Linked DNA regions of Ovis aries. The protein of the gene in region 1 purifies or fractionates together with the protein of each later gene. This does not show direct contact. Links are inferred from orthologs where the notes say so. Each region holds a gene or a part of one and is shown on either strand. Other genes may lie near its edges. The genes, in order: TWF1 and CAPZB.

Region 1 (6,784 bases):
ATAACAGGCGATTGTATTTAACATGACTGAATCGAACATTTAAAAATCGTTAAGATGGTAAATTTTATGTGTATTTTATCACGATTTTTTAAAAAAGATAAGGTGAGAAGTCATGTAATTGGTATCACATTAAAGATGCAAGCAAGAGAGATTAACCAAACAAACAAGATTTCTATCATAATCTAGTCTCTTAAATAGGTAAAATACAAGAACCACTAGCACTCTACATACTCAATAAACCGTTTTTCTAAAGTTAGTACAATAACCTAACCTGAAATGAACATCAGACATAACAAATTATGAAATTTAAGTGTACTGTCAATATTGACCAGAAACATTTTCATAAAACAACATCCAATGAAGGCATCAAGAATCCATTTGCTAAGGAAATTATCTGACTACATGTAGAAATGCTGATGGACAGTTAAAAAAACAAAACATTTTGGCCACGCTGTTCACATCTTAACAAACATCTTCCCTCCTCAGATTTCCTGTTTTGCTAGAGGAATTTTGTTGTTTCATAAACAATGCAGACAAGTCCCTTGCAGTTTTAACTCAAACTACTGTACTGGCAGAAAAAAAAGCATTATCTGGCAGATGCTGTGGTGGTCTTATCCAACCTACCTGGACTTTCCTCCTCTTCAGGGCTGAATATACAGGGATCTTTTCTAAGGATCAACATGGGAAAATTAATTTTTCTCATCTGTACATTTGAGTAATGTCAACCTCCTTAAGCAATTTTCCCTACTCACCAGAACATGAGTCAGTCAACAAATTGCAGAGGCACTCTCTGTGCTCAACAATGCTGTGAAAACTGGTAAATCAGGGTGAACTGTCGTGTCAGGAAGAATTTGGTTAGAATGGAACTCCTCCTTACGTCTCTTAAATCCAAACAAGTTATAAAGCTCAGATTAAATTTTGGTTATTCCAAAATATGAAGATGTGTTTGAGAAATAGAGCCTAAAAAACAAGGAACAGAAAACAGCAATCTTTTTTTTTTTTTTTGCTGTGAACCCCATTAAGAAAAGCAATTACCTACCTGCTAATTAAAAATATGTCACATTTCAAAAGTGATTTTGTTAACTTGTCCTTAAATTATTGGTCTGTACAAAGTATTTGTTGATAATCAGATTGTACATTTTTATACTTGTCAGTTCAAGGCCCTAAAAACAAAACACCAAGCTTTCTACCTAGAAAATTATAATCCAGGAGTTCTAGAAAAGTAGTACAAAAATAACTACCAAGATTATCCTTAGAGGGATTTCCCTGGTGGTTCAATGGAGAAGAACCTGCCTGCCAATGCTGGTGAAAGGGGTTCGATCCCTGTCCAGGAAGGTTCTGCATACTGTGGGCAACTATAGCCTGCACAGCACATCTACTGAGCTCACACTCTAGAGCCCACGAGCCACAACTACTGGAGCCTGAGCACCCTAGAGCACGCATGCTGCAACTACTGAAGCCCATGCGCCTTAAAGCCTGTGCTTCGCAGCAAGAGAAGCCACCACAATGAGAAGGCTGTGCACCCCAACTAAGCTACTCGTAGGGTCCCCCCCAACACACACACACAGTTAGAGAAAGCCCATGGGCAGCAACAAAGACCCAGTGCAGCCAGAAATTTAGACAATAAATAAATTATCCTTAGAAATGGAAACACATGCTCATAAAAGCACAGAATGGAAAATAGTTTTTAATAATATGCTACAACTTTATCCTCACAAATGAATCTTGAATAATTACCTGATTTAAGACTAAAGGACCAATAGAAAGCAGAGCAGCGTTAGTTTGGAATGATGGAACTGACCACAGAGGAGTACTCAAATCAGCTAATTTTACTTTCAGTGGCTGTTTCTTTTTGGAATGAGGAGAAAGGAAAACCTTGTCTCTAAATGGGCCCAACTAAAGAAAGAAAAGGTTTAAGTCTGAAATTAATTTAAAAGCCTTTCAAATTTTGATGGGAAACTGCCTATCCTTTTTAAAAAATCGGGAGGAGCGGGACCCTTTACATTAAATTGTACACACAGCAGAAGAGTAAACCAAGAAGGATATCTTGCACATCTTTTTAAAGCTGAAAACTTGTGTTCAGTAAAATGTTCGTTTCCGTTTTTGAGCATCCTTTTGCTGAACCAGTGAAAGGCGTTGGCAGGGCAGACCCCAGAAGGGAAAGCTATCTTGCCAGCCCTGTGGTGCTTCACGGTGGTGGAGCCGGAGAAGCGGCGGCAAACACCGGGGACAGTGACCCTAGGCAGAAAGCTGGAGTAGCTGGAGTTGAGGGCCGAAGGTGTGGACCTGCAGTCCCGCAGCTGGGAGGCAGTCCCGCAGCTGGGAGACAGTCCGGGTGACCAGAGGCGGCGGGAGCGCTGGGGGCGCGCGAGGACGCCGGGGGCCTAGCGGGGCGGGGCGGCGGTGGGTCGCAGGCCGATGACGCGCCGGGGCCGGCGGAGGAGCGGCCACTTCCTGGAGCCGCCGGGGCCGCTCGCTGCACTCAGCGCTGGAGCCGGGAGCTCGCGGCTGCCGCCATGTCCCACCAGACCGGCATCCAAGGTAACGGCGCCGGCGCTGCCCTTGGGGAAGGGGCTCCCCGGAGGCCCCGGGCAGGCCGGGCGGGGCCGGAGTCGGGCCCGAAGCACTGGGAATGTGTGTCGGGGCGAGCCGGGCCTCTGAGTCTCTCTGCGCTCCCGTGTCCCGGGCGCTCTCGGCCTGCCTCCCTCCCTTCCCGGGCCCGGCCGCCGCCACGTTGCGGACGGACCCGAAATTCGCCGGAGCGAAGGAAGTGGGTCCGGCGGCGGCCGGGGTGAAGGGGGCGTGCCTGCAGCCGCAGCCGACCTTAACCCAACTTTAACCGGTTGGGAAGACTTGGAGACGTGAAGGCGATCGGGGTCCTTTTATTGTCAAGAGACAGGCGAATTTTCTTTTTCACGGTCCAGAAGAGTTGTTATATTATTTGAATTATAAAAAGAAAGATGCGGAATCTTTTCCATTTCTACTAAGAATGCTTCCCAAACTCTTCCGCGCTTTCTTCCAAAATGGGAACATCAGCACCGTTGTATGTATCCTAAGTAGGAGGCGTCTTGGTCGTTCTTAGGTACTCCACGGGGAACTGAAAAGTCTGATCTGTGTGGCATCGTATAATTATCCCATTCAGGCAGTTGAATGTGCAATTTTAATTGACCTGTGTTATTTCCTGGTTTGCGAATGGGCAGTCTGAAAGCTCTCACCTCATCAGAATCAAATAATATGTCCCGGGGTTACTCGCGATCACTTAACGAGTTCTAGTATAAACACAAGATCTTCCTGTTAATAGACAACGAATCTTTTCCCCAGATGAACATCTAATTGTGTTTTGTTCATAAGTCTTTGACACCACCCCATACCTCCTCCTGCACACACAAAGAAAAGCAAAATAGTCTCGAATCTGAAAGCACTCTTTTGTTTGCGTTAGTTTTGATGCATGGATATCTAATTATTGACTTTGATGCTTGAGTCTAATAACAAGCACTATTAAAAGTGGTTCTTGCTGTCAATATACACCCCAAGAACAAAATCAGAACGAAATTGAAGTTTTCATAGCGCAAGGGGTAGGTTATTAAGTATACATTTGCTCAGTGAGATTACTCCAGCTTTTTGAGAAATACTAGTCAGAAAAGTGTGACCAGAAGTATAAACTTGAAGGAATTTTATTGACTTCAGTCAGGATAGGGCATTTGACGTTTATTGTCATCTTTAAATATGAAAATGTATAAAATGAATTGATGAAGAGAGTGTTTTTATTTATCGTAAACTTGAAATTAGACCAGAAGAGAATGAAAGCAGATTCTCAGCATTTTCAAAATCAGTAAAGGTATTTCTCAGATGTGTAATTTGTTCATTATTGGGTTTGAGAAACTTTAATATATTCATTCCCAATTCTAATGTAGCTAGGACAGGTTAGAATTAATATACTTTTAAAACATACTTATGTCTCTTAGCTGTGTATGGGGCTTCCCTGGTGGCTCAGTGGTAAAGAACCGACCTGCCAGTGCCGGAGATGCAGGTTTGATCCCTGGTTGGGAAAGATTCCCTGGAGAAGGGAATGGCAACCCGCTCTGGTATGGTGCCTGGCGGGCTACGGTACAGGGAATCACAGAAGAGTTGAACATGCATGACTTAGCAACTGAACAACAACAACAGCAAAAGCCGTTTTCAGTGTCTGGTATACCTTTTAAGTTTTATAATTTAAATGACTTTTAATAAGAAAATATTGCATACTCAAGATTTTTTCTTTGTATTATATTTCATGTTTTCCTTATTCAATTGCATTGTTATTGTAGCATTAGAAAGTATTAATGCATAAATATTACTTTTCTGTATCTTTTTGCACAGCAAGTGAAGACGTTAAAGATATCTTTGCCAGAGCAAGAAATGGAAAATACAGACTTCTGAAGATATCTATTGAAAATGGTTAGTTAAACATTTTTTGTTCTTGAATTACTGGGTGTTATGTAAAGCTAAGTCATTGTCAGTGATTTGGACTATTAATAAATGTGAAGCCGGTTGAAAGCTTGCCTTTAGTTAACCTGTATCCTCTATATTTTGGGCATTTCCTAAAGGCCCTTGCTTACCTTCTGAATTCTGTAGTTGACTATCAGGGAAACAAAAAGATGTTGGTTTTGGTGTGACATCTTTCTCTTTCACTTTTTTGAGTCTCAGTTTCTGTAATGCAATCTGTATCTAATGTCAGTGCTTGCATCTCTGGAATGAAAATCAGTAACAGGCGATTATCTGAAAAATAAACAGTTATTTGTGAATTATTTTTCAATAAAGTTAGTTTGAAGTAGAAGGAAAGGGTTTTAAACTGCCTGTTTTCTCAACTTGATTGTAATGTTTGCTGAGAAATGATTCCCTTTTCTTGTTATGGGAAACAGTTCTGAGAATATAATAAACTGTAAATTGAGCCTTTCAAAATAAAGCTGAAAGCAGGGAAATTAATTGGGTGGGAGAGTCTTTTAATTTGGCTGGTTTGAGTGTGAATAATTAAATTATAATTACTTAATCTCAAATGAATATGTTAAAACATCCCATTGGCCTAATTTCTTAATTACCTTGAAATATTTTGCTTTGGAAAAATATCTTGTTCTTTCATAAACTGGAAGTAAATCTAATTTGGTTTCCAGTTTCTCTTATATGTTAAAAATACTAAAATAATTTGAAAAATATGCAGTTCTACATATGTTAACACACTCAATGAGAATAAACATATACTGTAAAGTAGCCTGTTTTAGAACTATTGAACTAAAATTTTAAGTGTTATCACTTTCTAATTGACTTAGTTAGGTAAGTAAAAGGGAAAAGTTGGTATAACTCACATCTCTACAACAGAAAAATCACTATTTTGTCTGTCACTTATCCTGTTTTTTGTTTTAAGAAAAAATTTTAAATAAGGAAATTATGAAGAATAAATGACAAATACTTCCATCCCTTCTTAAATTAATAACTGCGAACATTTTTTCAATTTGCTTCAAACCTTTGTAATTTGATGTTTAAACAACTGTACTTTCCAACCTTCTCCTGAGGAAACTATATTAGGAACTTTTTCTGCATGTGCAATCCCTAAATAACATGTAGTGCTGTTTTTGAGTTTTTAAGTTCATATGAACTGATGTCTTTTTCTGCACCATTCCTTTTTCTGTAAATATTTTTATAATTAGTTTTGATAGAGGTGAGGTGAGGTGAGGTGAGCTGAGGTGAGGTGAAGTCGCTCAGTCGTGTCCGACTCTCTGCGATCCCATGGACTGTAACGTATTAGGCTTCTCCGTCCATGGGATTCTCCAGGCAAGAATACTGGAGTGGATTGCCATTTCCTTCTCCAGGGGATCTTCCCGACCCAGACGCTTTAACCTCTGAGCCACCAGGGAAGCCCCTTTGATAGAGGCTCATTAATTCTTTTTAAATATGAATAGAATTTTATCATGACTGCCACGTATTTTATGTCCCTTCTCTTATTGATGAACATGTGGGCTATTTTCAGTTTCCACTGTTATTTTATGGTGCTGCAGTGAATACCTTTGTATATATGTGCAAGAGTTTCTCTATGCAGAATACAGTCTTGATTCTCCCAATAATGTCTCAAGGTGACTGTACCAATTTATGCTTGTGGACAGATTTTTAAATTTGTAATAGTATGGCCAAGTAGGAGCTAAACCTGTTTTTATTTAGTATTTCTTAACCGTGCAATTCAATGTTAATTTCAGAAATTCCACCTTTGAGTGGTTGGATGCTTAAATACATTTTGTTGATACTTTATAACAAACATTTGGAAAATAGACTATAACTACCGTTTCTTCAACCATCAAACTCAGCTATTTATAATCATTTTTGTATGTTCCTTTCTTGTGTTTTTCATAACATTATTTTACCTGTCCTGGTCATAATTTTTACTTTTTAATACTACTTTATATTATATTTTTGTATATACTAATATTTTATTATATATTCCTATATATTGTATTGTTACAGCCAAGGTCCTTTTCATATATTGATGTGAATAGAGCAATTAATAATTACATATTAATTTATTCTTCTATTCTTCATTATTCCACCATTTGGTATTTCAAACCATTTATGTGTCTTAAAAATTGTTCTTCACAGAGAAACTTGTGATTGGGTCGTGTAGGAAGCCTTCAGATTCCTGGGATCAGGATTATGATTCTTTTGTTTTACCCCTGTTGGAGGACAAACAACCGTGCTATGTATTATTCAGGTTAGATTCTCAGAATGCCCAGGGATATGAATGGATATTCATTGCGTG
Region 2 (6,533 bases), on another chromosome or scaffold:
CTCCACACCTCTTCTTGTTGAATAATTGCATCTTCTTTCTCCCTGCAGTGGTGAGAGAGAAGGTGACCTAACCTCCACATCCTGGTTTCCACTTCTGGAAAATGAGTATGTGATGCCTTGTGCTGTTGTTATTGGGCTTGGCGTGCATGCTCAGTCGTGTCTGACTCTTTGCAACCCCAGGCTCCTAGTCCATGGAAGTCTTCAGGCAAGAATACTGGCATGGGTTACCACTTCCTACTCTAGGGCATCTTATTGACCCCAAGTCTTCTGAGTCTCCTGCACTGGCAGGCAAATTCTTTACCACTGAGCCCCCCGGGAAGTCCATAGGATACATGCCACATACAATTGTCATGAGATTTAGATAAGATAGGCAATAAGCTGGCGGCACGTGTGCCATTTGATCTGATGCACGATCCCTTCTCTGGCCCCCAACAGTCCTCACTGTTGTTACTGAATATGAAATGATTCATGGTATTTTGAAAACATACTTGCCGGCCCTGTTACATTGATCGTATGTTTTATATGTGGTTATGCCAGCCTTGTATATACTTTTTAAATATTTATGTGTTTGGCTGTACTGGGTCTTGGTTGTGGCACGCAGGATCTTTGATCTTTGTTGGGGCGTGCAGGATCTTTAGTTGCAGCGTATGAGATTTAGTTCCCTGACCAGGGATTGAACCAAGGCCTCCTGCATCGGGAGTGTGGAATCTTAGCCCCTGGACCACCAGGGAAGACCCAGCCTTGTACATCTCTGATGGTAAACTCTAAATAGGCGGAAAACCCATAGTTGCTTAATATTTATTGGCCCCAGGTACCGTACAGTTCATTATCTTCAACCACAACAAGAGATGGTTGAGCACTTTCTATCTTATGAGATTTATACAAGGACGTTCTTAGACTAAGAGTCTGTTTCTGCCCATAAAGTCCATCAGAGGTGATTTTAAAAGGCATGGCAGCTTATTCTTCTTTAAAATAGCTTTTTAAACATCTGACTACAGAATTACATGCTTATTGTAAAAATTATAGATACAACACCCAAACCAGAAAATTACCCAAGGAATAATCACGGCTCATCTTTTTAGAACCTATCTTTCTACCCTTTTTCCCTTCCATGTGCATACATGTTTCGCAAAAATGGGATCATATTGCATGCACATTTTTGTTACCTGCTTTTTTCCTATCTGAGAACACATCGTGAATGTATTACACGTTATTAAAGAGTCTCCTGTAGTGTGATTTGTAATTCTGGCTTAGTATCTATCGTATGGATAAATAGTGATTCTTTTAAAGCAATCCCCTCGTGTTGTATCGTTTGATTTTTTCCATTCTTCCACCACTATTAGCAATGAACACCTTTGTATGAATTTCTCTGCTCACATTCCTAATGATTTTCTCAGAACCCATGAATAGACATTTGCTTCACAGAAAGAGCACCCTGTCAAGGCTTTTCCTACCCATTGCCAAGTTTTCTATTAGAAAAGTCTTCTAAATTCACACTCCCACCAACAGCGTATGAGAATGCTATAATAAGGGCTGTTGGCCAAGATGATGATTATGAAAAAAAATAAATAATCAAGAAGATAAGTATTTGCTAAAGGCTGTCCCCGCGCCAGCTGTGTTTATTTGTTGAACGCTGTAGTCTTGTTCCTTGGAGCAAGCACTGAAGGTTCTTTAGACTTTCCGTTTATTTAGTGCCTCTTTCAGCACTCTGAGACTTTGACCCGAGTTTTATCTGAAGGAAAGATTTCTGGTAAATATAGTTTCCAGTTTGGAAACTCAGCCCAAGTACTTCCATCGCCCACCCCAGTGTGGACCACCTCTGTGGTTTTAACTGCTGGGAATCTGTCAGAAAGTACTGCTGTTGACTTGGAGCGGAGAACTGAAGTGCTTAGAAGAAATGAAAGAGTAGATCTGGGGTGAAAAAGTCATGTTTCAAGTTACAAAGGGAAACCAATAACCACCCAAGGGGTTGGCGTTTCACTTGACCCGCTCTGATATCACTATGGTGATGTTCTCCATAAACAGTTGCATAAGAGCAAGATGAAAAAGAACGAGCAAGTTCCATCCAGGAGGTCTGGAGTTATTTTAGGGATCAAGGCAGTGTCATCTGGGGTAAATATGGAATGCAACGTCTGTTCTTTTAATAATCATCCCCTTCTTTTGTGAGGCTGAAGGAAGGCCTGGGACATCAGACATTTGGGCCGAAAGCAGCGCTGACCTAGTGCCTTCAGGGCTCGGGAGAAAACTCGGCCAAAGGAATGGAAATAACGGTTCATAACAGATGCTGGAACGATTCCTCTCACACCCCTGGCCTCTGAGACTCTCCTGAGCCTGATGTGGAGTCCAAGGGTGGAACAAGGGTGATGTTCTCGGGATGGGCTGGCCCGGTAGAGAGGCAGAGAGGGGGTCCCCAGGGAGCTGAGCTTAGCTGTCTGCCCCGACCTTGATTCCTGGGCCAGAGGGGGTGGAGGACACAGCCTGTCTCTGGGGCATCACCATCTGCTGTGGATGACATCGGCCACTCCCACCCTCATGGTCTTCTCTTTGAACCCCTGACTCAGCGAGCCTCAGTCCAAAAAGCAGAACTAGCTATTTTTGCATCAAAAAAAAAAAAGAAAAAAGTCAGGCAATACACTTGCTGAACTCCTTCCTGACCCTGAAACTCTTACTCTTTGCACTTAACCCCTTGTTCTTCCCTTGTTCTCTTTGCTCTCTTCTCAGCTGTTAGATTGCGAGGTGGTGTCACTATTGGTAAAGAACCCGCCTGCCAATGCAGGAGACTTAAGAGACCTGGGTTCAATTCCTGGGTCGGGAAGATCCCCCTGGAGAAGGAAATGGCAACCCACTCCAGTGTTCTTGCCAGGAGAATCCCCATGGACAGAGGAGCCTGGTGGGTTATGATGGAGTTGCAGAGTCAGACATGACTGAAGCGACTTAGCATGCATGTACTCGTATTTGGGGGGCTTCCGTCGGGGCTCAGCGGGTAAAGAACCTGCCTGCCAATGCAGGAGACATGGGTTTTGATCCCTGGATCTGGAAGATTCGCTGGAGAAGGAAATGGAACCCACTCCAGTATTCTTGCCTCGGGAAATCCCATGGACAGAGAAATCTGATGGGCTACAGTCCATGGGGTTGCAAAAGAGTCCGTCCTGACCTACTGGCTAAACACCGCGGCCACCACCCTCATCCTTAGCGAAGATCTTCAGAGGAAAGGGCTGTTCTGTGGTCGTGGAGGCTGGCACACAAAAGGTTCTCCCTAAGAGTCAGCTGATGGCACGTGAATCCAAAACCCCGTGCCTACCCTGATGTGGAGGTTTCTGAAATGATGGCTGTTTGTTTATTCACTTGTTCAACCAATGTTCATTCAGCACCTCCTGAGAAGCCGAACTTCTGCTGGGGACCGGCGCTACAGGGACCAAAAAGACCCCAGGGCTCTGTTCTTATGGAGATGATGCTCTTGTAGACCTCAGTATCTGAGTGGTGAACACAGCTGTCATCACAGAGCCTTCTCTGGCCATTGGATATAAAATCCCCCTTCCCTGTTTTATTCTGCTTCCCAGAACTTAGCATCACAAGGCATAATATATACTTGTTTGTGTGGAGTGGGTTTTTTTTTGGCTGTGCCATGGAGCTGGTGGGAGCTCCCTGAACAGGGATGGAACCCTGCCCCCTCCCGACCACCAGACCAGCCGGGAAGTCCCTACTTGTCTGTTTTGGTCAGCCTTGCACACAAAAAGGAGTGCTCTTTGAGGGCCATTTGTCCATGGCGTTCACTGCTGAGTCCCTATAACGATGGCTAGCACGCAGTAGGCACTCGACATATATATTTCAAATCAGTTTGTTCAATGTACTCTGCAACTCTCTAGAAGACCTTTGCAGCAAAACTCTCCAGGGAGCGCGTTAAGAAGAGCCCCAGGACTTCCCTGGCGGTCTGGTGGTTAAGATTCTGTGCTTTCAAAGCAGGGGGCGTAGGTTCAACTTCCCTCAGTCAGTCGGGAAAAGAAGATCCCACGTGCTGCCCAGCATGGCCAAAAAAAAAAAAAGAAAGAACTCCAGAGGGTCAGCACGACAGATTACGACCATCCAGAGCTTTACGGAGTGCAAAGCAGGGAGGTGCGCTGGGCTGAGCACGAACCCTCATCTCTCAGGGGTCTGGTTTACTCCTTGTAAAGTGGACATAACGTTGCCGGCCTTCGGGGACCATTTGTCCACTGGAAAAGGGAATGGGTGTGAACCGCCCCGCCCCACCCCCCGGGACCTGGCGCTTCACGCTTGAAGGCTGAGCACTGCGGTTTCTTTATTACTGGAGCTTCTCAATTTCATGTGGACTTTATTACTATCATCCCTGTTTTAACCCACAAGGAAAACCCAGCTCACAGGGTCTTAGGAGTTTGCTCACACAGGCTCAGGCAGGACCAGAGCACCCCAGAGGGACAGAACCCCGCGCACAGCGCCTCGCCTGTGGCCGCAGGGCAGCCGGCTCTGGCAGCGTCGCCTCCTGCGCGCCCTCCTCTCTGCTCCTCCGCCTCCGTTTGCCATTCCTCGTTCTCAGTGCGCCACCCCACCCACCGCTGTGGGAAAAGGAGAGCTGTGGAGAGAAGCAAGCCAAAGGGGAAGTTTGTGCAGTTGGTTAGGAAGCGAAAGTCGCTCAGTCGTGTCCGATTCTTTGCAACCCCGTGGACTATGCAGTCCATGGAATTCTCCAGGCCAGAATCCTGGAGTGGGTAACCTGTCTCTTCTCCAGGGGATCTTCCCAACCCACCGATCGAACCCGGGTCTCCCGCGTTGCAGGTGGACTTTTTACCAGCTGTGCTATCAGGGAAGCCTAGTTCGTTAGTAGGTGAAAGGCAAATCCTCCTCGGCCCTCACCTTCCCACCCATTCTGCCGCTTCCCTCGGTGTTCCCCCCGCCCCCATTTCTAAGCTTTAGGATTCCTCTGCCTCCCAGCATCTAAGTTGATGGGGATTCTGGTTCAATCAGGTGGGATGGGCCATGAGACTCATTAGCATAAATCAGGATATTTCTTGCAATTGAGAGGTACTCAGATTAGAAACACTACTAGAAACTCAACTTTCTAAAACTGATTATAATTTTACAGGGACGTCCCTGGCAGCTCAGTGGTTAAGACTCTGTGCTCCCAATGCTGGGGTTGCGGGTTCAATCCCTGCTCCGGGAATTAAGGTCCCACAAGCCACACAGCCAAAACAATAAAAATAAATAAGGTAACAATAAGGATAATAGTTTGAAACATAAAAATAGTTATAACTTTAAAATATTTATAATAGTGTTATAATTCATGAGCTTCTTCTTGGTTCCAGACAGTGTCGGTGGAAATTTACAAATACCTGATGACAACCAAAAAAGGCAGATATTATTATTCCCATTTTATAGATGAAAAAAATTGAAGCTCAAGGATGAAGGATCTCCTCAGAGGTTAGGTAGCTACTAAGTGATGAAGGCCCGAGATTTAAATCCAGGTCTGTCTATATTTAAATCTCCTTCTGCTACACAAAAATAAAAAGATTCAGAGGGGTGGAGTTAATGTGCCTTAGAACATCTGTCCCAGCAACCCTCTGAAGAAAATTGAAAATATCCTAAAGAAATGCAAGTCAGTAGATGGCTATATGAATTATATATAGGGATTATAGCCAGTAAAATATTTTTCAATCATTAAAAATTATATATATATTATATATAGAATCTTACGCTAAATGAAAAATGTATGATATAAATGTATCTCCATGGAGATTATAATTGAAAATGTCTGTCTACTACATAAACATGCCTGTGAATTATAAACAAACCTACGCAAAAGACTGAAAGGAAATATATAAATAGGATCACAATTCTGTAGTGGAATTTGAAAGGATTTTCCTGACTTCTGGTTACTAATCTTTCTGCGATGTGTTAAGTTATGAAAATTCTAAGATGGTCTTCTCTGAAGTACTGTCGCTTTGCAACAGAGTACCTGAATCAGCATGCATTGTGGGGGATTATTTTGTTGTTGAAGCAAAGTTCATTAACAATGTTTGAGATGCATAGCAAAGTGATTCAGTTGTATTTATACTGGTATATATGTGTATATATATATATATATTCTTTTTCAGATTCTTTTCCATTTTAGGTTATTATAAGATACTGAATATAGTTCCCTGTGCTATCAATAGGTCCTTGTTGTTTATCTATTTTATATATGGTAGTATGTATCTGTTAATCCCAAATCCCTAATTTACCCCTTCCCCTCCTTTCCCCACCAATAACAGTAAGTTTGTTTTCTATGTCTGTGAGTCTATTTCTGTTTTTTAAATAGCTTTCTTTGTATCATTGTTTTTTTAGATTCCACACACAAATGACATCATGTGATATTTGTCTTTCTCTGACTGACTTCACTTGGTATGACCATTTCTAGGTCCCTCAGCATCCATTTTCTTTTTAGTTTGTTTTTATTCATTTCTGGCGGCTCTGGGTCTGCATTGCAGGGTGCAGGCTTTCTCTAGCTGCGGCTAGCAGGGGCTTCTCTTGAGTTGCGGCAC

Evidence for each region.
Region 2: the proteins of TWF1 (region 1) and CAPZB purify together in Homo sapiens (affinity purification with mass spectrometry; 3 studies listed by BioGRID and IntAct, with this or other methods). This does not show direct contact. The link is inferred for Ovis aries from reciprocal best matches to the Homo sapiens genes TWF1 and CAPZB.

The regions. Positions count from the first base shown.
Region 1 is NC_056056.1:142,935,449-142,942,232, forward strand, and holds the start of TWF1 (twinfilin-1), read left to right. Parts: upstream 1-2,478; 5' UTR 2,479-2,516; coding exon 2,517-2,541; intron 2,542-4,359; coding exon 4,360-4,437; intron 4,438-6,624; coding exon 6,625-6,784. UniProt on the Homo sapiens protein: Actin-binding protein involved in motile and morphological processes. Inhibits actin polymerization, likely by sequestering G-actin. By capping the barbed ends of filaments, it also regulates motility.
Region 2 is NC_056055.1:246,875,361-246,881,893, reverse strand, and holds the start of CAPZB (F-actin-capping protein subunit beta), read right to left. Parts: upstream 3,735-6,533; 5' UTR 1-3,734. UniProt on the Homo sapiens protein: F-actin-capping proteins bind in a Ca(2+)-independent manner to the fast growing ends of actin filaments (barbed end) thereby blocking the exchange of subunits at these ends.